Linked DNA regions of Coturnix japonica. The protein of the gene in region 2 interacts with the protein of the main gene of each other region in a biochemical or structural test. Links are inferred from orthologs where the notes say so. Each region holds a gene or a part of one and is shown on either strand. Other genes may lie near its edges.

Region 1 (11,123 bases), on a different chromosome or scaffold from region 2:
CCTCACCAGTCAATCAAAGATTGCCTTTCTGTATTTAAGCCTTAACTGATAGTTGCATACAACCCTTGTAAGGGACATGTTTAAGAAAAAAAATCCTTGAACAAAATATTTCCCAAATACAAATTTCCAGTGGAAATATTGTTTATAGCTTATCAGTTCAGGAATAATCGTTTGGTAATAAATGCTATGTAGTAGGAAGTACCAAGTCTTTCCTCAAAGGTAACACATTAGTGATGTACCTCTGCCTCACCTTCAGGCTTGTGCTTTCTTAAGGGTAAGTTCTTGTTTCTTTTACTTGAGAAAGAAGCTGTAAAAAGGAAACAGATTCTCAAGTGGATGAAGTTATGTCAGCTGTGGTGAGAACTCTGCTTGCATTCACAGCCTTGTTGTTTTAATAGGTCAGGTATGGGGTATATATAGGAGTGATCATCTTTCTTGAAACCATAGTTTTTCAAGAATTAATCTTTTAAAGTGTCAGGCTATCTAATACTGCATTAAGAGAGAGACATTCAATGTCTGTTAGTGCCTAATCAGCTCCAGAATGTGGTTTGTGTTTTTTTTTTCCATATTAAAAGGCAGCTGGTTCTGTTCTGGACAACTGAAGCTCTGCATGTATTCTGCAAGACTCTCTCCCAGAAAAGAAATGTTGCTCGTTTTCAGAAACAATAAGGATCTTGCAAGCCTTGTTTTCTCTGTTATCTTTTTATTTAAATACTTGTATTTCAAAGGAAGATTTAAAAAGATACAGGAACTCAAGAGCTGGGAGCATGTGCTTTATCTGGTGAGAGCTGAGTTACCAACAGCCTTTTCCTGCTCCAGGGATATCAATGGTCAAGATGCAGAGTCTTCAGATTGTTTAAACGTGTTACTTGCTACTCGAGTCCTTCAAAAATTATTTAACCTGAATGAATAATACCATAGCTTAACAGGAAGCATGCGGGGCCCCAGGTCTTACCTGAACACCTGTGTTCTGAGGGGCTGCAATACCATCCCCTTTCAGATAGCAGCACCACAAGGTCCCGCATATTACAGAAGCCCTTAATCAAGCAAAATAATCTTTCTTCCCACACTATATAGGAAGATATTGGTAAAGAAATATTTTCAAAAGTTGCACTTAGGATTTATACAGTAATAAAGCTGTACAGAGGGTATATAGGATTATATAAAGACTGTTAAACCTATTAAACAAGGTTGCAGATTCTTCTGCTGTGGAATTAGCTCTTTCCTCCTTGTAAGCATGTGCAAAGTTCCCATTTGCAAGTTAAGGCACGTGTCATTTAGCATATATGTATTTTTTGCTTTGTATTCTGTTTATCTTCACCTGATCTTCATCTTTTTGAAGCATCTTGGACTGATGGCAGTAGTTCAAATGACAGTGAAGAGGAGCCACTATGAGAAACAAAGATGGCCTGAAGTTTAATGAAAAATACCCAGAGAAAGTATGTGTGTTTCTATTTCCACTGTGAGGAGTGTAAATAGAAGACACTTTAGATAGTTTGTTTTCTCCTAGTTCTCTACAGGACACACATAATGGTGGAGAAAGCATGTGTAATCCATCCTGTGAGTACTCATAAGCCTATATTTGATTCTGTTATTGATAGAAGAGGCAGGGAAGAGACCTACACAAGTTTCAGCCAGAATTACTTCTGGTAAATGTGCGACTTTTGGTTAAAAAATTACATCTTATTTGGGACTGGCTATAGGTACAGCTTAGAAAAGGATGTTTCTCAAAACAATTACACGAGCGATATAAATCTAACATATATGAGAACAGATACCCAGCCATAACTAGTCAGAATAGAGTGGAATGCTCTTTGCTGTGAACTCCCTCCACCTTCTAAATAAAAGAATCTTCCAGAGCTGAATGCACTTACGTTAATGAGGTTCAGTTCTATTGTTCCAGTTTTCTCAGTATCCAGTTTTCTAAACATTTCTGTGGAATGACAGATGATAGAAAAGAATGAATATAGGGACCAGCTGGAAAGATTTCCTCTTCCCCATGCTTCAGCTCAGAGATGAGTTTATGACAACAGACTTCACCCCCAAGTTGAAAAGTACCACTGTGAAACCATCCCACTAAAGACAGAAATGGACACTGGCTTTACAGATACAACAAGAACTACTTGCCAAATAGGCAGAAAAAGAGACCGGACAGTTGTAGTGGTTCTATCTGTAATATTGACAAACGTTAATTTAAAACAGCTTTCAGCATCCAGTGGCCTCATAGTGAAAAGGCAAAGCAACAGAGTTTGGTTTTTAAACCTGTACTCACTGAACAAGGTTTCCAGCCGAATCAAGCACCGGACAAAGTTATCAAAGTCAATGATGAGGTCTTCATCAGCAAACCGAGCCACAATGATTTGATGTAACTGGCAGTTCAACTTGAACCCTATATAACACCAAGGATTGGGTGAAAAAAGAGCTTAGAAATCATGTACTGGAGTGTGGTGAGTATCTGCCACCCCAGCTTGGAAGTGCTATAATACTTAAAGGACAAATACCTGCAGCTTCCAGCGCTCTCCTCATCTCATATGAATTCATAGTTCCAGATCGATCCACGTCAATTTCCCTGTAAATTTTCTACAGGACACAAAACCCAAAGTCAAAACTTGTCAACAGTTCAGAGTGCTTTTTGGCTTTGGACAGCCGAAAGAGAGTAAAGAGAAGCTGGCAGCTGTGGATGCTGAGGACTAAAACTGGGGAACTGAGGATGTACAGAGGCTGCAGGAGACACATCGTGCACCTTTCTACTGGTGTCGCAGCACTGGGATGCATGGCTGTCACCCAACTCCTGGTGGCCTCAAGCAGACAGCACAGGGCTTCCAAGCAAAACACTTCAAGCCAACTAGATTGTTTTCCTGCTACTTTGTGTTCTGTAGAACTCTAGAGGGGGGGGGTTTGGTTGCTCTCTGGGTTTGCCAGGCAGTTGACCAGCTTCAATTAGTGCTGATGTGGGCATTAAGTAACTGGGCCTAGTACATATGTTCAGCTGCAGTTCTTGGGTTTCCCTTTCCAGTCTGTTCTGATTCTCTGAAACTAAGAGGATCACCAGCAGGGAAGAGGCTTCACCTCCCTCAGAGTGGAAACAGTGATCATGCACAAAGGAGCTGCATGTCAAAATTTACAATTAAAATCTCTAATAGCTGTATATTGTATGAGGCAAAACAATCCATATTTTATTATATGTCCTCCCCAAAAAAGTTATGTCTTACCTGATATTTCTGAATCTTTGTCCAGAGTGTGTGGAACTCCTTCAGCCCCAGCTTTCCACTCCCATCGTTCTTGTTGGAGTCAAGGTAATTTCTTTGGAAGTCAGAAAAAGGTTTTTCCCTCTCTGTGCTGGGCTAATTAACACGAGCACTTGTGACTTAATTTCATTTTTTGATAAGTATTAAGAAAAGGATATAAGTCCTCTCTAGAGTTTATGTTTCTGTTTGTTTCCTTTGCTTAAACAAGCCCATCCTGTTGGATACACAAACTATTCTCCAGGGCTTCTTGTCTTTCTAATCAATAAAGTGGCTGATTTGTTTAAACTGTGATCAGCTCACAAGCCCTTCTTGCTTCTCCTCTGCCTTTTCAATACATGCATAAAGCAGCAGATGTGATGCCATTTTGCTCTCCATAGGTTCAACACCTGCAGTTGCAGGAGTGTTTAAGTCTAGGTTATAAACAAGAAAAGACACAACCAAGCCTGCTATTTAGAGAACTCTTGCACAAACAGCTAACAAAAGTACCTGGCCATTCATTGCTTCCCTCCCCAAAACCACTAAGTAGTATGGACTGCTAACACAAAATTTGAGCAGATAATCATTTTGTTTGGTAATTTTCCATTTGTTTCTGAGTACACAGTTCGACTCCCACTGAACAGAGAAGCTGGATGTGACTATTCTTAGACCCGAGTCCTTCATCCTACACTTTTGTGCTTATTCTTGGATGTAGACACTCCTAAAACTCAGCCTGGTTCCCGTTATTTGCTTGCTTCATTTCTTGTTTACTAAGTCTTTATGGCTTTACAATGCCTTCCGCAGCACGAGCCAGATAGCAAAGTGTGAAAGTACAGCCAGCTGTGTGCATCTTAACTACCAGCCAAGGCTGTCCACACCCTGTTGCCAGCAAACCTTACTTTGGCATCAGCTAAACCATAATAAACAGATGGGCCTGTCTGGAAAAGGAGTTCCCCACTGCCTGAGAGAATGTGTGTGCCATGGTCAGTGACCAAAGCAAGAACTGCAGTTTTATATGGGGGGACCAGTGCAAAAAACAACTGATCTGCCTCAGGAGGCATTGAGCTCACAAAGGCAGCAGCTCACCTACTTCAGGCAGAAAAATAGCATCCTGAAACAGCTCTAAAGGATACATCTAGCAGATCAACCATTATTTTGCATGTCTCGATGCTAAAGCCATCAGATTTAATATCTTGACCTGTAAAGAAAGAGCAAGAGATGGGATTAAGGCTGCACGCTGTACCACAGGACTTTCCTCCATTGCCTGGGAGCTCTGTAACCAGCGTACACACCTCCATCCTTAACTACATGTCTCTTTAGGGACTTCCTTTGAAACTGGCAAAATGACCTTTTCTTTTCAGTGCATTTTTTGTTTCTCCATAATTTGTGCTTAGCACTTTGCCTTGTCTGTGGCAGGTTGGTTACTCAGTGGTAATCTGGCATCTCCTTCAAATCTGCCCTTGTGAAGAGGAGTTCTATCATATGGCTGCCATGGTCTGGGCCAAAGCAGCACAGGAATGCCTGCCTGCTGCTCTGAGACTTATTAACAGCATCCTCAGCCTTTGGGATCTAGCAATTGCACTGGTACCCCTTCTAAGGTAAGCTAGTCCTTAGAGATAGTTCTGGTGTTGTACAAGAGACGGACATGGCACTGAAGCAGGCAAATGGATGCTAATGAACAGCCCTCTTTTTCCTGACAGAGAGACTTTAGGGTGAAGGTTTGCTGTGATATTTCCTCAAGCAAACAGTCCAGTTAGACTGGTTTGTAGGTATGCTGCAGAAACAAGAGACAAAGATAAAGCCTTCCTGAACTTGTCTGCTTACAAAGATAGTGGACAACATGGACTTTTGACTTGTGGAGGTCAACACTGGGTAGCCTCGTTCATCCTATCAAGCTTGGTAACCAGTAACACACCATTGCTAACTGGCTGATGCATGTAGCACAGCCCTGGCTTCCTAGCTGAGATTTCACTTTGGAAATTAAGTAGGATTTTTTCTCCAGGCTCAAACGCTGGAATAAAAGGCACCTGTATGCAGCAGGCATGCAAACATACCCCACAAGAGAATGCACCCTGTGATATGTGGGCACAGCCCAAGTGTTTCTGCAGCTCTCTGAGCCTGCAGGGCATGTGGCCCTGGCCATGTGAAGAGAGAATCTCTCACAGCCTCTCTGGGAGCCTGTCTGTGTCCTGAAGCACTGCTGGGGGCAGGTACTTACGTTTAGCCAAGATTTTATTCAGGATGTTGCGCAGCTCGAAGGCAGAGATCTCTGCATCCTGCAGAAAAGAGGAAAATAAGTTCTTCAGTGGGAGACACAGGCACTGTCTCATAAGCAGCCTCCTCATCTTTTGGGATTGATGGTCAAGATCAGCATCCCTCAGTGTTTCTGTCTGATGTGGGTGTGCCCTCACCATGAGACCCATTTGGGAAGTCTGGATCCACTGGCACCAGTGACTGGGAGCAGTCCCTCTTGCACACTCACCCCTGCCACCCCTGTAAGACTTAACCATGAAATACTCACATTTCCTGCCAGCTGCCCAAAAAGCTTTTTGAAGCTTGGTTCAATGTCATCTTCACTGATCTCAGTCTAGAAGAGAGAGAGAGAAATACAGAATATGGGAAGAAAGCACCTGATCCTGGGTACCTGGAGTGCCCAAGATCCCACCTCAGAAAAGAGGCAACGTTTGTTTCCATTATTGCTTATAACGTTTCTGCTCACATTTCTGGACATTAAATTATGTATATCCAAAATTATCCAAATTGGGATACGTTTTTGGTAATGCCTGCAGCAAAATGTCATCTGCTTGGGATGCACGGGGAGAAAGATGGTCCAATCCCATTTATTTATGACAAAGTTATCTCGATTTAAAATATTTAAAACATACCTCTTCAAAATTGGCCTCTATTTCATCATCTATAACCCTAGAGAGATAAGGAAGTTGATATTAAAAACAAAATAAGCCACTTCTCTGATTCAGTTACATTAAGATCCAGATTCTTTGAATTACAGAAGTAACAACGCATGTTCAAATCTGACAGGTTGGTGGAGTGAACCACAGACTGACATAGCAGTATTCTCATTGGTGTAAAGAATACGCAAGGGGAGGAAGGTTAGTGCTTGCAGTGAAGGAGGCAAGTTGCTGTGAAAGATCTCCCACCCCTTCCCAAGGCCCCAGCCCATGTGCTGTATAGGATAAGCCACATCTGCAGCCAATGGTGTGCTTTGAGCCAGCTCTACTAAAACCCAGCTCAGTGTTCTTAGAGGCAGCCGCTGACTGAACAATTTTCTTGGCTTATTTCCCAGCATGATTTCAGAGGTGTGGGCTCTTTCTCATAGTCGGTGCGCTCACCACCAATGCAAAGCACGTCTTTATGTGACTTTCTAGTTTCCATGGATCAGCTTGGGCTGCAGGACCCAGCTGGCTACAGTCCAAAGACTAAAAGCATCTATCCAGACAGAAACTGCTGTAAAATAAACAACAATGGTAACAAACCATCCCATTCCCAGTCAATCCTCTGTGGTACAAAGCTACATACTTTGAGTTTGCATTCTTTTCTGAGAAGACTCGGAGGCAGAAGTCTCCATTCAAGTTGGGTTCAAAGGTAGAGGGCACAACGATGTATTCTCCTGCGGGGAGCTTGAACCGGTTCAGCACTTCCCGGAGGTTGATGAAGGTGTTGGATTTTTCTCTCGCTTTGTTAGTCAGGAAAAAATTTTTGCTCAGATGAATATTCGTCTGGCCAGAAAACTTATGGAAAGCAAGAAAACAGAGAAAACCCATCATTTGCATGTATTTGTTCTCTTTTAAGTTACAGACACAATAGAGATGGCAATTAGTGAGGTGTGAAGAGAAAAATGTATGTTCCATCAGAATGAAAGAGAAAAGAGAAAGGGAGTGAGTGTCTCACACCGCAGTACTCCTGTGTTACAGACCATCTCACTTCAGCATTTAGCTAATGCTTATGTTCAGCAGACTGAAGAACTCTGACAACTTTTTGGAGACCAACATTATCTGATAGTGACAGGACAAGGCAGAATCTGAAAGAAGTTACATGTTACGGGGAAATCTTTCACAAAGAGGGTGGTAAGGCACGGGCAATGCCCAGAGAAGCTGTGGTATGAGAATGGACACCTCTGTGGAGTATTAATGGTGTCAGGCATGACCTCTGCAGGCCAGGAGCAGGTGTGGGCCTGTGCTGGGAGAAGAGCCATGAAGGAACTGCCCTTATGAGTTTCTGCTGTACTGCGAGCTCTTACCCGAACCCAGGATGTTTTGAAAATGCAATACAGGCTCAAGCCCACCTCAGAATAAACAGCCACTAACTTCAGATTCTGCATAGCCCAAATGGTCCTTCAGGGAAGGAGGATCCTCTCAACTGTTTCTGCCCACAGAGCTCAGCCTCAGAGCTGCACCTTGAACCCTTCAATGCCACCGCATGCTACGTACCTCTGGGGGCACCTGCAGGGAGAAAAGCACATTTAGTTGTGTGCTGCAGTGCTGCTCACTGGCTGCAGCTACAGTCCTGACCTGAGTCCCCATCTTTGCAGCTTTTTTTGGTTCCATGTAGAACCATAGAATACTATAGCTGGTAGAAGCCCCTATGGGTCATTGGGTCCAGACCCCCCACTCAAATCAAGGCCAGTACTGAAGTTAGATGGGGCTGCTTGGAACCTTGTCCTGTCTGGGTGTGAATGTCTCCAAGAACATGGCTTCTGTAATCTCTCTGGATGGCTGTCCATGTGCTTGACCACTGCTTTGATAGAGGACAATTTTCTAAACACCTGAATGGAATTTTCACTCAGGCTACTGGTATCTGATTCAGCTCTGATGAGTTTGGGTTGGAAGCCCAACTCTACTCAGGTAGGGCACAGAAGGAACTGGTACTTTGCTGGGTTAATAGAGCGAGAGATCTTTCCTTTTCCTTCCATTTATCTTACTTGCCTCATAAATTGCAAAGCCAATGGTATGCATGTCCTCTCCCATCTTCCTCTGCTTCCTCCGATGCTTCTGAATTAGGCCAATGAGAAATGTGCAGCCCCCCTCAGGATCGTCAGGATCCTCATCTTCTTCCTCCAGCTTGATTAAATACTGTGGATTCATCCAGAAAGTGTCTGCAAAAGGGATTTATGAAAACTGCTCAGAGCCTTCTTTGATAAACACATGCCAACTAGGACAGACACAGCTTCCAAATTAAGCTGTGACCACTGCTTCCCTCCCAGCCTCACATCCACAAGTAGACCCTCATTATAGAGCCTTGTCTTCCATGCACTTACACTTCCTGGATATCAGTCCCTGATACTTCCAGAAAGTCATAAGCCACCCCAGACCAGTAAACATCAAGGACAAGGCATGCAGGGCTGACCAAAGCCAACACTGAAGTCAATGTAACACCAGACTCAGAAATGTTTCTCACCACTGTGCCACTGGGGCTGTGGCTTCAACCCAATCCTTTACACTGCAGAATATCCAGAGCAACAAGTGGATGAGCACACTCTTACTTGGGTAATTCCTGCAGCCCCCTGCAGTAGCTCCTCGTCGCCAGTTCCCATCCAGCTTCAGCAGGCTCCACTTCTTGTACCTGTCACTTGCCAGAGTGTCTGGAGTCAGATTGCAGATTTCCAGGCGGGAGTAGTGCCTCAGGAAGTCATTGAAGGCCATCCTGGGAGAAGCAATGCCATCTCTTTATGATGCACAGTTTCCAGACAGCCATTGTCTGTCTAATCCCTCTACTGCAGCAACTTAGCACTGGGATTTGGGGTGAATTTGCTCACTCATCTTGGAGAGTGCGGTGGGAGAGGGTACTTTGTGTGGGAAAGAGGCTCATTCGCTTACCAGAACTCCCCATCTTCATGTCTCCTTGTCAGCCGCTCCCGCACATCTGGGTCAACACCATTCCAATTTGGGCAGCTGAAAGACAAAACCACATTAACTGCAGTTTAAAAAGCTAAATCTTAATGTAGCTGGTCTGGCAGGACTCAGTTTTTCACCCAGCTCTACACAATTGCAATAACTCCATGACACCCAGCTAGAAGCAGCTCTAGGGCTCTCAAACAACAGCAGAATTGAAATCTGGGGACATTCAGACATTAGGTACCTGGCCTCTTAAAATGCAAGGCAGAAGTTTTATTTTCACAAAGTACTGATGCCTCGACTGAAACAGAGCAGGAAGACCCAGAGTAAATATAGTACATAAACTCCAGCTTCCACTGCTAACAACAGAAATGCATTTTTATGGCCTTTATATAAAGTAGGTTTTCAGAAGCTCACCACTGAATCTGGGCTGTTAAAAAAGCAGAAACTACAAAAAGACTTGCAGGAATCACAAACCAAATCACTTCATCTAGCCCAAAAGCAGGTGTTTGTGCAGAGGGCACTACAAGCATGGGAGACACAGTGGTGGGATGCCTCTTTTAACCAGCTCAGAGAGAACATCACATGCAGACATTACATGAAGTGAAGCTGGAAATAGGGAGACCTCAGAGGAAAACGGGAACGCAACCATTTCCCTGCAGTCAACACCTATAGGCAACATGCAAACCGTTGACTCACTTGTCATTCCATCTCCCTGTCCACTCCACTTCTCCCCAGGGATTTCGGATTCTGATGAGCTTCTGGATGCTTCCACGGAAGTTCACCTGGTGGGATCAGAAGAGCATGGAAAGTCACCCAAGGACTCAGCTCTGTGTTCTCTTCCATTTTTTTTTTTTTAATTTGCCCATTGCTGTGCACATAGAACCTGACACAAACAAAGCTCTATGACAGCCAGAGGGAACAGCCATTGTTTATGAGGAACACACAGATCTGGAGGCAGGAGCTGGGGCATTACTAGAGCCCACAGCCAAGGAAACAGAGGAGAGCGGGCAGAGCAGAGCACCAAAGTTCAAGGATGGGGTTCTGCAATGAACTCTTCATACAAAGCCTGCAAACATCTCTGAAGGAGAAGCTTGCCTATGTCTTTTTGTGAATTAAGGTCAAATCCCTCCTGATTCTTCTTCTATGAGAGGAGGACCAAGTGCATGCACCCCAACCTGCCTGCAAGCACTGCTCACCTCCCTGCAACATGCCTATGGCTGGGGACTCACCACGCCTTACTCTGCCATTCTAGAGATACTTCAGAAATAACTGCTGGAGTCAACAAATGTCCTTTACACATATGAAGGACACCATGACCTGTCTGCTTCCTTTTGGTTTTGCTCACCTTGCCTTTGTTATCACCTACTCTTGGCTAAGCACCTGGCTTTCACACATGGTGCTCTACTGAAAGATGCTGATTGCTGTTATTTAATACGTAATAATATATATTTTTTTGCCTGGTGTGTCTCACACATCTTGCCATGCACTCAAGGTGCTATCCACCAGAGGACAGTGTGCCCTCTGCAGAGAGCTTTCCCAAGAAGTTAAGTTTGTGTTTACCCAAAACAGAAAGATTAACTCGCTATTTCTTCAGGCAGAAGTGACTCAAAAAGCTGGCTCTGCAGAGACTGAAGAATTTTTGGCTATGAAGACCAATCTGTTGCTGCCACAGCTCAGGGAAGACCACATATGGGGCTGTCTGCATTAGTATGTGTTGGGGCACAGCACCTACCTCCTCTGCCCCAGTGACGGAGTACGCGTGTCCCTTCACCAGCTTCTGCGATGTGACTGCCTCCGTCTCAGCTGCACTGGTGATCTGTAAGAGCAAAGAAGCTGTTACAACACTTGAGTAGTCTGACCTATGAACACTGCAAAGAAAATCACTTCTCGCAAGAAAGTGGCTGCTTGACATCCTGATTTAGAGCTTCTTCAACCTCCATTAAACATGTTTGTCACTCTCCTTCCTCCTTTTCAGAAGGTATGTGGTCTTCAAACAAGGATACTTGAAGCTTAGAGATAGAAAAATAAAGAGGAAGGGGGTGGG
Region 2 (11,123 bases):
GCGCTGGCAGCCGCCTTCCCGAGGGTCGGTACCGGGAGGGTAGGCCCAGGGGGCGCCTTGGGAGCTCGGCTCGGGCGGGGCTTGTGTCTGCCCTCTGACAGCCCAGCTCCTCGGTCTGCCAGACCTTCCTGCAGGACACCGGTGTGGGGCTGTGCTCAGGTTGGGAAAGGCTGGGTGGGTTTTATAAGCGCTTTTCCCCCGTTGACTTCAGCTTATATTTTGTCTGTGATAATAACACCTACATCTGTGAGATGGTGCATTATTGAATGCGTTTCTGACGTTTTGTAAAGCAACAAGCTGCTGTATAATTGAGTTATTTTAATGAGTATATTGATCTAGGTTGCTTTGAACATACATTTCACCTCTAATGCCTTAAAAGAGGCGTTCCTCTCCCATTTTAGGTTAAAATCCCATTTCTAAGACCTGACCATTGTTTAAGGCTGTTTCTAAGAGACTTGCATGTGCTTTTGAGACATGAGTCTGTTCAGCCTGCATTGGATGTGTTTAATGGCCTGTATACTTATTATCCCAGGGTAGGATTCTACTAAGTGTGATTAAATGTTCCAGCTTCCATGTACAAATTTATTACCAACTCTTACTGTTGTACTTCTTCTTTCTAGCAGCCATGGTGAATTTTGCCCAAGCTGTGCGTGACCACTGGGTTCACATCCTGGTTCCCTTGGGATTTGTGGTTGGATGCTACCTGGACAGATGGAACGATGAGAAGCTGTCAGCCTTCCGAAACAAGAGCTTATTGTACAGGAGGTCTGCTTGGTCCTGCCTTTTAACATTATATGTATTATAGGTTGCTTTCCCAGATAGACTTTTAAAAGTACTTCTTTACAACAAACCACTCAACCATATCTCCTAAGCGCTTTCCACTTTCGCCTCTATTTGTCTTCCCACTAAAGCAATGGATTTTTGGATTGGAAGGAGTTAGATTTTTGCCTTTGGGGTCTCATGTAAGAAACACCATCTGTTAACTCAGCAGAGGTTTATTTATAATTAATGGTAGGACTCAATCCTTTGAAGCTTTGGGTCGTAAAGTAAAAGTTTAGGAGGGCGGGGGCTGAAGCACCTCCCCTATGAGGACAGGCTGAGGGAGTTGGGTTTGTTCAGCCTGGAGAAGAGAAGGTTGCGGGGTGACCTCATTGCAGCCTTTCAGTACCTGAAGGGAACTTACTCCCAGGAGGGGAGTAAACTCTTCGAAAAGGCTGATAATAGCAGGACATGGGGAAATGGTTTTAAGTTAAAAGAGGGAAGATTTAGGTTGGATGTTAGGGGGAAGTTCTTCACTAGGAGAGTGGTTAGGCCCTGGAACAGGCTGCCCAGGGAGGTTGTGGATGCCCCGTCCTTGGAGGTGTTCAAGACCAGGTTGGATGGGGCCCTGGGCAACCTGATCTAGTAAATGTGTATGTTTGGTGGCCCTGCCAGGCAGGGGGGTTGGAACTACATGATCCTTGAGGTCCCTTCCAACCCGGGTCATCCTGTGATTCTGTGTGATTCTGTGATTCTAGAATCATTTTAAATGCTTGTTAATTATCCCACACCATTTATCCTAATTTTAGCCTCCACCCTTTGTTTTCTTTCCACACAGGGAGCTGAGACCCGGCGAAGAAAAGACCTGGAAATAAAGGCTGCTAATGAATGGGGGAAACTTTCTGCTCTGTTCATCACCTGATCTCATGCATTGAAACAATATGGTTATGTTTTTTCTCCTGAGACCCTACCAAGCTACAGAATAGAACACCTACAGTTTGTCACTGCTACTTTAATTCCTATTGTTACTTTATGGAAGGTGATCTATTATAAAGCTGTTTTGATTCTGTGAAGCCCATGGAATTGAGAAATATCTGCCCCCAGAGGTTCCGCTCTGGAGTTGGGGGAGAAAAGACGTCATGTAATAAAGAAAAAAAAAAAAAAACTATGCAAAAATAATTTCCTTTTTTCTTAGTCTGTGTGGTGTGGAATTAATGCGTTTATAGGTGGTTTATGAGCTAACCGAGGCGGTACCTCACACATGGCGCTTTATTAACTCACCGCCACACGGAAGGAAGGACCGCACGTTTCCGGCTGCTCCAGAACTGCGCAAGCGCGTCGTGCTGCCGAGCTGCCCGGACCTCCCGCCGCCAGGGGGCGCTGCTGCGGCACGGCGAGGCGAGCCGCGATTGGCTGCGCGGGTCATGTGAGGCGGAGGCCGTGCCGTTGATAATAAACATGGAGTCGATCTTCCACGAGCGGGTGAGTGAGGTGTTGTGGGGCGGGAGCGGGGCTGCGCTCTGGGGAGGCGGCAGTTGTATCTCCCGGCCTTGCGCTGCTCTGGGGCTGCCCTGTTCCCCTGCCCCATCTCCGGCGGGGCTGCTTCTCGTCTGTGGCCGAGCAGGAAGGCGAGCAGCGGTACGTGGGGCGGGTTCCGTGAGCTCGGACACCAAATCTGCCCGCTGTGGGTGTGCGGCGCTGTGAGGGACGGCATCGAGTGCTGAGCTGAGCTGAGCTTCCTGTTGGGAGAACAAATGCTTCTGGAAACTGCTGTGCTGTGTCAGGGCTCACACGTAGCAGCTGCCTGCGACCTCTGTTGTTACACTACAGTGCCCTTTATCTGCTTTGCCGGTCACTCTGCAGCTTTGCTGATATTTTTGTATTGTTTTGTGGGATCTGTTTAGGTGATACTGGTTTCTGTCCGTTGTTCTTATGCGTAGTAGTTGGTTTAGTTAACAAATAAATAGAGTTAGCTGTACAGTTCAGTGGGTTTTTGTTGTTGCTTTTAATAAGTTATTACATCAGTACAGAAGGGCCCTTTCAAAGAAATTAGAGCCTAAACTTGTAACATGACTCATTTTAACAAAGTTATCCCAGGCTTGATTTGTTCCTAATTATTTCATATGCTTCTGGTGGAAACAATCTGTGACCATTGGCAGGTCTCAGCTGTGTCATGGGGCCAGCAGCAGGAACGTGCTTCCAGCAGGGCAGGAGTTGCTGTTTAGTCTGGAGTTTCTTTTTGTGGGATAAACACAAGCTGGAGAAGCTGTGAAAGATGAGACTTTTGAATTCCATTGTACTTAGGCTGTACAGCCTGTCCAGCTTGAACTCAATATTCAGTTGAGTGGTGGTACCTTCAGAAGGGATTGTAATCTATAAAGTTTCAGGGATCCTGCTGTGAGGGAGACCAAGGGAGATTTGTGCACCTGACTTGTATGATGGAAGAGTGGACATTTAAATAACATTCTTACAAGGCACACTCTTGTATTCTTTACTTTCTGTGGAGTTTTAATTCTTTGACAATTTTGTTTTGTTTCCAACACCTTTGTCCTAATGCACATTCTTAATGTTAATATAAACAAGCATTGATGCAAAGAGGAAAGCTGCTTTTTATAGCTGATGTTAAACTTGTCTTGCACTCGTAGGTTAACTAACTCGCCTGTTATTTTTTAGAGAGGGATTGTTTTTCATGGGAAACTGTAATTCCTCTTTTTGCAAAGTCTCAATGCTCTGTTTTTCTTTAGCCACATGTGGAAAGCAGATATTTCCCAAACCTCATAGGGAACACAAGTTTAACAAAGAAAAAGAGTGTCCCTTGTGGAGAATATTTGTTAATGGGAATTAGAGATTTAAAAAAGAAAAGAATGAGTTTCTTATTTCATACAGTGATGATTTGAAGGGAGCGGAATCGATTCTCCTGATGGTTGCAAAGTACTTGTGTGACTTGGACAAACTGTAGGTGATTTTTACCCTGTTTCCCAAAACATTTTCACTTAGAATTTATTTTCTTCCAGGAAATATGTTTGTTTTCTTTTCCATCGTCAGATTAATGGAACATAGGAATGTATTCTACAGCTCACACTGTAATAAAAATGGAAAAAAATACAGTATTCTGGGAAGTGGGGGCTGGAATGAAATCATTGAATGTTTCTGCAGAGTGCGTCATTAACATCTATATGTTATTGCTTTTGACATAGTGGTGTTTTTTTCCTTTCCTAATATTAGCAAGAAGGCTCATTATGTGCTCAACACTGTCTGAATAATTTGCTACAAGGAGAGTACTTCAGTCCGGTTGAGCTATCCTCCATTGCACAGCAGTTGGATGAGGAAGAAAGAATGAGAATGGCAGAGGGAGGAGTGTCTAGCGAAGAATATAGAACATTTTTACAGGTAAAATCTTAACTTGACGTTGCATGATGTCTTCTTAAAATCTAATATTGTATAGCAAAGGCCTGCTATGCCTGCATAATTACAGAAGATTCATTTTCTAGTGCTGATGTTTTGGAAGTTTGCTGATATTTTCATTCAGGCATTTCAGGTTTGAGGTTTTTAGTGTTATTTGTACAGCTTTATAGTGCTTCTACAGGGGGCCGTGTTACCTTATCTCCTCATCTTAAGGGTAAGATGGTTAGGCATGGCAAGGAGAAGACTAAGAGATTGACTGTTTGTTTTAGTAAGCCAGGGGTAGAGACGGTAACAGAATTCCCTGTACATGTCTGTCCTTTAAGCAGTAAGTATTTGCAGCTTAAAAGTTTGAGTTATTAACAAAAATGCAAATGTTGGTGTTGTAATCAGCATACAGAGTAAAATATATTTCATTGTTGTTTTATGTATGTACAGTCATATTATTATTATTATTATTTTTAAGTGAAATTCTTTCTGAACTTTTATGCTGACACAACTTTTAACTTTCCTTCCTCCAACCTCATATGCTGAGCAGCAGCCTTCTGTAAACATGGATGACAGTGGATTCTTCTCAATTCAAGTAAGATGTGCCCTAGACTGGCAATTTTTTTCTTCTTTATGGAATGTATGTGTTGTCATACAATTTAAATGACATTGACCTATTATCTAGTTTCTGTTTTATAGGCTTAATGACATTAATGGTTAGACTTGAATCTTGAATTACATTAAGAGCAGTGGTGACTTGTGTTTGTTCTTTAGGGTAGTATGGCTTGGTTGCAGTTGGACTTGATGATCTTGAAGGTCATTTCCAACCTGAGCAGTTCTATAATTCAGTTTATGGGTCTTTAAATAAAGAGTCAAAGCATAGACTCCCTCATACCTGCTAGCAATAAGCTTGCTTTCCAAATCGCTTTTTATGGGATACAGGTGAAAAAAAGAGACTCGAGATTGTCTTCTCAAATTATAGACTGTGAAGTCTTTGGCAGAGGTTACAGAATTATTGCCATGATTTGCAGAATGAGAGAAGCTGCAGTATCTGTGATCCAGTTTTTACAGTTCTTTCAGGGCACTTTGAATTGTGGGTTTTTCTGTTCGTTTTTTTTGTTTTGCTTTTAAAGGAATGTAATGGGAAAATAATTAATAGGAAATACGTTAACCAAACCAAAACAGTGGTATTGAACACTAAGCTGGTGAAGCTGATGACATTGCACTACAAGGAGAGGGCAGACAGGAGAGGTACCTGGAGAACAACGAGATGACAACTTAAGCAGTAGTTGTGGGAGGTGAAATTACAGCTTTGAGTGGAGCAGTGAGTTTATTAACGTGTCTTAGTTAAATCACAACTTTGATACTCCCCCTTAGATTTGGTAGGCATGTTATATTTGCACATAGATTGATGATGGTGGCATTTTGAATAATGTGATTCCTAATTTTCCCTGCAGGATTTTAAGATCAAAGCTTAATGAGAATAATATAAGTGTTTATAGTAGCTAAAGCGGTTGCTCTTGCTCAAGTTGGATTGGATAGGTTTGACTCATAAAAGGTGTTGTTGGTTTTTCTGTTCATTTGTTTGTTCTGACAGGTTATAAGCAATGCCTTGAAAGTTTGGGGTTTAGAACTAATCCTCTTCAACAGCCCAGAGTATCAGAGGCTTGGGATCGACCCTATGTAAGACTTTTTGTTATCATCGTTTTTTAAGCAGAGTTTCCTTTAATTTTAGGAAAAATACTGAAAAACAGTTACTTGTTTCTTTAAAATCAGTATTTAAGCTCTGTTGCATTCTGGTGTTTATTTTCTTACACCCTGACCCTTTGATGTTTTTTCTTCTTTTGAGGGTGTATATAAGCACCTCTCCTTTGTGCCTTTGTGACATCTCAATGTCTGTAGCATCAGGTTTATGAGATTTCAGTAATGTTGATGTGATGAAATGATATAACCATAAGTTATGAAAGCAGTATGAGTACCTCTGTAGCACCAAATCAGCAGTTTTACTACTGAAAGTTTGTTTTGTAAGTTTAAATTACTGGTGGCAAAGAACTTAAAACATTAATATGCACTCCAATATTATTTAATTTTATCTATACCTTTTGTTTTTCTTTTTACAGAAATGAAAAATCATTTATTTGTAATTATAAGGAACACTGGTTTACAGTTCGAAAGTTAGGAAAACAGGTGACACTGTCTTTCTTTATTTAAAAATTGACTTCAGATTGGGGGTGGAAGAAGTGGTTTCAAGTAGACCATATGTTGGCCATTTGCAGGCTTTTTCTGCTATTTGATTTAATAGTAGATATAAATAAATGAGTAAATGTTTGCTATATCAGAAATGCCAGGCAGCTTCCCCTGCATTTTTCCTTAGGGAAACATCCCAGGATCAATTTGCTTGTGAACCTGTCCTATAGGAAACGGTAGCTGAGGCAGCCCTTGTGAGCTCTTACGTTCTCTAGTTCTTTCTGTGTGTGAAATAACAGAAAAAAAATATGATTGCAAAGTTCCGTTGCACTAATAAATATTAATAATTGCAGGTATTTAAGGGTATCCAAGGGATAAGGCAGAGCAAGGTAGAGTCAAAAATTTTCACTATTGTATAAATCTATCTGAAGCAGCTGGATTATTAGCAGGAAATAACTATTAAAGGTTATGGCCATACACATGTGTAGTATCTGTATAACAACACAAATCACACACAGATCTCTTATAATGTCAGTGCAGTCTGTCTTTAAGTAGCCAGCCATTGTTCTGGATTGTAGTGCAAAGCTCTTATACAACATAAATTAGTTAGTTTAGTGCAGTGTTTTGGGGTTGATTTTCTTTGTGTTTGATATTTTTTTTTGTTGTTGCTGGGTTTTTCTGGTCATGGAAAGTGTCCCATTAAAAAAACAAAACACAAAAGCCTTTTAAATTAGAAAAGAGAATGCAAAAGTCTTCCTGCCCATTTGATTTTCCAATTGGAGATTACTTATGTTGTCATCCAGTGTGAAGTAGTATAATTTTGCCTGCAAATAAGCAAACTAAACTCTACAGTTCTGGTGTAGTTTCAGAGATTGGCTGATTATTGTTTACAGGCATTTTTTTGGTGTGCTTGAAATTGAAAAGGCTGAATGGCCTTTTAAAGGGTTGGATAAGCTCCCTGGTAGAATTACAGCCACATCAGCTGAAATTTGTTTGAGATACTGTTGTAGCTTACAACATGTTTAATTGGATGGGGTATGCATTTTGTTTTCTCATGTGGTTTGTAGCCAAAGAAAGAAAACACAAGGTTCTGTTATCTAGAGAGTAATGAGAAGGGAAAGACAAAACAGCCTGACTTTTGCTTTCACCTGCTGCTTTTCTGTTACAGTTAAAGCACAGTTAGTTCTCTAAAGTTCTGTCCTCTGTACTTCTTATAGTTTGTCAGTAATCTGTCTATGTTTGCGTAACTTTTAATTCTTTCCCCATTCCTACGCAGTTTGTTTTCTTTACCTTATCTTAGTGCAAGTGGGGCTTTTGACTGACAATTTAAGAATGGTAGATAGTTGACTTTGAATTTGCCAGGTGAATTACAGTTTAGCCCTGGCTGCAAGTGTAGAATTTCATATACAGTAGTTTGGGCAGACAAATGCATTTTTGTGACAATAGAGATAGGACTTTTCTGTCTGAAATGGTGCATTCTCATTCAAATTGGCTAATGTTGAATGGCTATGGAATATAAAAATATTCTTCAAATTGATTGCTATATAAATGGAATACACTAGGTAGTTCATTTTGCCATACTTATTGAGTATATTTTCCCCCTAGTGGAAATATTATATATAATGGATTGTTTTCAGGCATCTGAAAGTAACCTGCATACGTATTAATCTCTAGTGACTCACATTGTAATGTAATGCTGTATAAGTAGCACATTAAACTTAAAGTTCATTTTTCTAAATTTTTAAGTCCGACAGTTACCTCCCAGAGTTGTAAACAATAGTTTGTAGTATCATCATCTATTAAAGGCAGCATGTTTAATTAATAGAAGAGAGTGAATTCAATTTCTGTTTCCTGTACCTACAAATATATTGAGATACAGGGTTAACTTTTGAAGGGCTTCTTTCTTCATGTATCTCTGAGCAGTTTTAAAAGAAAGATCAAGCAGTATTTTGAAACTATGCCTGAAGTGATTCTTCTGCCATCTTTAGGTTTGTGTTTTGATCTGTTTGCCTGCTGCCTGTGTTCAGGAAGGGGATAGAGCATGCAGTCACTTACATGTTTCACATCTCCTGTTAGCTGAAGAGTTTTTGAAGGGAAACTTTGAGCAGTGTAGGTACTGTGCTTCAGTAGACTTTTAATTTGCTGATTTATTTTATTTGATGATTTGATTTGATTTTAGAAAACGACCGCAATGTACAGAAATGGATTATTGAGTCATGTTTATGCTAATTTATTTTCTCAAACTTTTTTTTCTTAATTGCAGTGGTTTAACTTGAACTCTCTCTTGATGGGTCCAGAACTAATATCAGATACATATCTTGCACTTTTCTTGGCGCAATTACAACAGGAAGGTAATAGTAGTTTGCAGATGTTTAATCTCCTTAATTAAAGCAGGTAATCATTATTTATTAGAACTTATCTATTCAGTTAACTAGCCTTAGTTTTGTTATTGAAATAGTGAAATAACCCAAATTCTTGCAATGAGAGTTTGAGCCTTATATTTTAATAGACTGCACATCATTGTATTCCATGTAAGTGTGCATTTCAGATAATTTATGTGTGCAGCCTAATGCTGTAGACCTACGATTTCTATTTTTCAGGTTATTCCATATTTGTAGTAAAAGGTGACCTGCCAGACTGTGAGGCTGATCAACTGTTGCAGATGATTCGAGTTCAGCAAGTGCAGAGACCAAAACTCATTGGAGAAGAGACTGCACAATCAAGAGACCAGAGGTAAGGTAAACAGACTTCCTTTTAATAATGTTTAGTAAGATTTGTTTCCATGATTAGTGAGAACATGAAAACAACCACTTTAAGATGTAATTAGAAGTACCTCAAGATCAATGTGTTCTATTGCACACTATAAAGCCAAATCAGTTGATGACCTAGTTTCAACTGGAACAGAGTTATTTTCTTCATAGTGTATAGTATGATGTTATGTTTTGGCTTTGGGAGTAGAACAGTGTTGATAACGCACTGATGCTTTAATTGTGGCTGAGCTGTGCTGCACAAAGCCAAGAATGTTTCAGCTTCTCATTCTGACTTGCCAGTGAAGTGCTGGGGGAGAAGCACAAGGAGCTGGGAGGAGACAGAACCAGGTTAGCTGATCCAAACAGGCCAAAGGAATATTACATATCATATGACAGAAGAATTCAGAGGAATTAATTTTGAGGAATGAATACATTGTTATTTCTAACACTTCATAAAGTAAACCACGGTGTTGTAAACAGATCTAATAAAAACAGTGAACTACTTGGAAGTGATGCAAAATTACATATAGATTACAGAAGATGTTTTGCTGTAGTGTTATCATCAAAGACTTCTGAGGAAGAGACCATGTGCACTTTTATCTGTGGGTGTAACTGTCTTGAAATAGGTTCAAATGAGTTGAACATTTGTTTAATAGCGCTTTTGAAGTTTCTTCTGTACATGTTGATGAGAATCTACTTTAAGCATATGTTCATAGTGTCGATATTTTCATTCTTATAGCTGAAAAGTACTTGCAGTTCTTTCATGCTATTTTCTTTTACATAGGAATAAAATATTTCTGATTATCATAATTGTCACTTTTTGCCAAAGTTTTTTTTTAAAAAAAGAGTTAAATCAGCACAAACTACTTTAAATCTCTCAGTAGAAGAAAGAATTATTGTGGTTTGAATGTTATAAATCTCATCAACTTCACAGGCTACCCAGAAGTGATGTGGACCAAGCAATAGAAGTTAGCCATCCTTTTGATGGGACAAGCATGTTAGATGAAGATGAGGAGAATTTTCAAAGAGCTCTGGCTCTAAGTAGGCAGGAAATTGATATGGAAGATGAAGAAGCTGATCTTCGTAGAGCCATTCAACTCAGCATGCAAGGTACGGTGCTTTTTTAAATCTCTTGCAGTGTTCTTGTTGCTTATGCTTTAGCAGCTACTGAAACCAGCTGCAGACAGCTGCTTTCAGAATGCTTCAGGTTCTGAAAAGACTGGCTTTGAGACACAGAAGGATAATCCAGACTTTCTAGTGTCTCCTTTCTGCTGTTTGAAAAGTTACAACTTTAATATTAACGCTGGATTTTTAGGAGGCAAGAACAAGTAGGCAAAAGGTGGCAGAAGGGAACCAGTTCTGGGGTGAGAAGATGACTATGAAATTAGCCTAGGTGCTTATTTCATTAACAAATCTGTTTCCATCGAATCTGAAGAATGATGTGTTTGGGTTTTGTGTTGTTTGTCTTTATATTAAGGAAAAAAGCTATAATTTTACTGTAGGACGGACATGTCTCATTCTGATTTTAGGTAGTCGTCAAAGTGAGTTCTCAAACTCGTTACCACAGAATGCTTCTCAGCCACCACATACCAGTCAGACAGACTCTCCTTCTTCAGAAGATCTGCGCAGTAGAAGACAAGCATATTTTGAAAAGTAAAGTAGCCAATAGAAAACTAAAACTGCATTTGGAAGTAAATGTCTTATTGTTCAGTGCTTTGGGGCTGTGGGTGGATTTCTGTCTGAGATCCAGCTTGATTTAACCCTCAACCTGTTTTCATGGCAGTGCTACAATTTTGCTATTCCCATGCGTTCTTTAGAAATGAAGCCTGTAAATAAGAGGGGAGCTGTTAGTAGTGTACCATTAGTCTTAGGAAGGAAAGCAAAGAAATATGTTAGAGTATTTCTGCTACTGTAATAATAATTTTCCTGCAGAATACCTGTTCTCTAAGACGCCTGGTAATTATGTCTCTAGTGAACATCACACAGAAAATTTCTAGATGATACTTCATTCCTCTTTTCTGGAGTGCTGCCTTAATA

Evidence for each region.
Region 1: of the proteins of ATXN3 (region 2) and CAPN2, one has a biochemical effect on the other in vitro, tested with the Homo sapiens proteins (2 studies listed by BioGRID). The link is inferred for Coturnix japonica from reciprocal best matches to the Homo sapiens genes ATXN3 and CAPN2.

Annotation. Positions count from the first base shown.
Region 1 is NC_029518.1:15,385,115-15,396,237, forward strand, and holds the end of CAPN2 (calpain-2 catalytic subunit), read right to left. Parts: intron 10,896-11,123; coding exon 10,812-10,895; intron 9,862-10,811; coding exon 9,776-9,861; intron 9,134-9,775; coding exon 9,059-9,133; intron 8,886-9,058; coding exon 8,725-8,885; intron 8,338-8,724; coding exon 8,168-8,337; intron 7,685-8,167; coding exon 7,673-7,684; intron 6,974-7,672; coding exon 6,762-6,973; intron 6,147-6,761; coding exon 6,110-6,146; intron 5,812-6,109; coding exon 5,746-5,811; intron 5,501-5,745; coding exon 5,443-5,500; intron 4,423-5,442; coding exon 4,358-4,422; intron 3,282-4,357; coding exon 3,213-3,281; intron 2,581-3,212; coding exon 2,502-2,580; intron 2,390-2,501; coding exon 2,273-2,389; intron 1,934-2,272; coding exon 1,875-1,933; intron 1,390-1,874; coding exon 1,366-1,389; 3' UTR 682-1,365; downstream 1-681. UniProt on the Homo sapiens protein: Calcium-regulated non-lysosomal thiol-protease which catalyzes limited proteolysis of substrates involved in cytoskeletal remodeling and signal transduction. Proteolytically cleaves MYOC at 'Arg-226'.
Region 2 is NC_029520.1:40,420,254-40,431,376, reverse strand, and holds the start of ATXN3 (ataxin-3), read left to right. Parts: upstream 1-2,129; 5' UTR 2,130-2,217; coding exon 2,218-2,241; intron 2,242-2,376; exon of another isoform or gene 2,377-2,397; intron 2,398-3,984; coding exon 3,985-4,149; intron 4,150-4,699; coding exon 4,700-4,744; intron 4,745-5,746; coding exon 5,747-5,832; intron 5,833-6,269; coding exon 6,270-6,336; intron 6,337-6,689; coding exon 6,690-6,725; intron 6,726-8,599; coding exon 8,600-8,687; intron 8,688-8,936; coding exon 8,937-9,069; intron 9,070-10,020; coding exon 10,021-10,196; intron 10,197-10,615; coding exon 10,616-10,739; intron 10,740-11,123. Other genes in the region: NDUFB1 (NADH dehydrogenase [ubiquinone] 1 beta subcomplex subunit 1), read left to right, coding at 626-765, 1,598-1,634. UniProt on the Homo sapiens protein: Deubiquitinating enzyme involved in protein homeostasis maintenance, transcription, cytoskeleton regulation, myogenesis and degradation of misfolded chaperone substrates.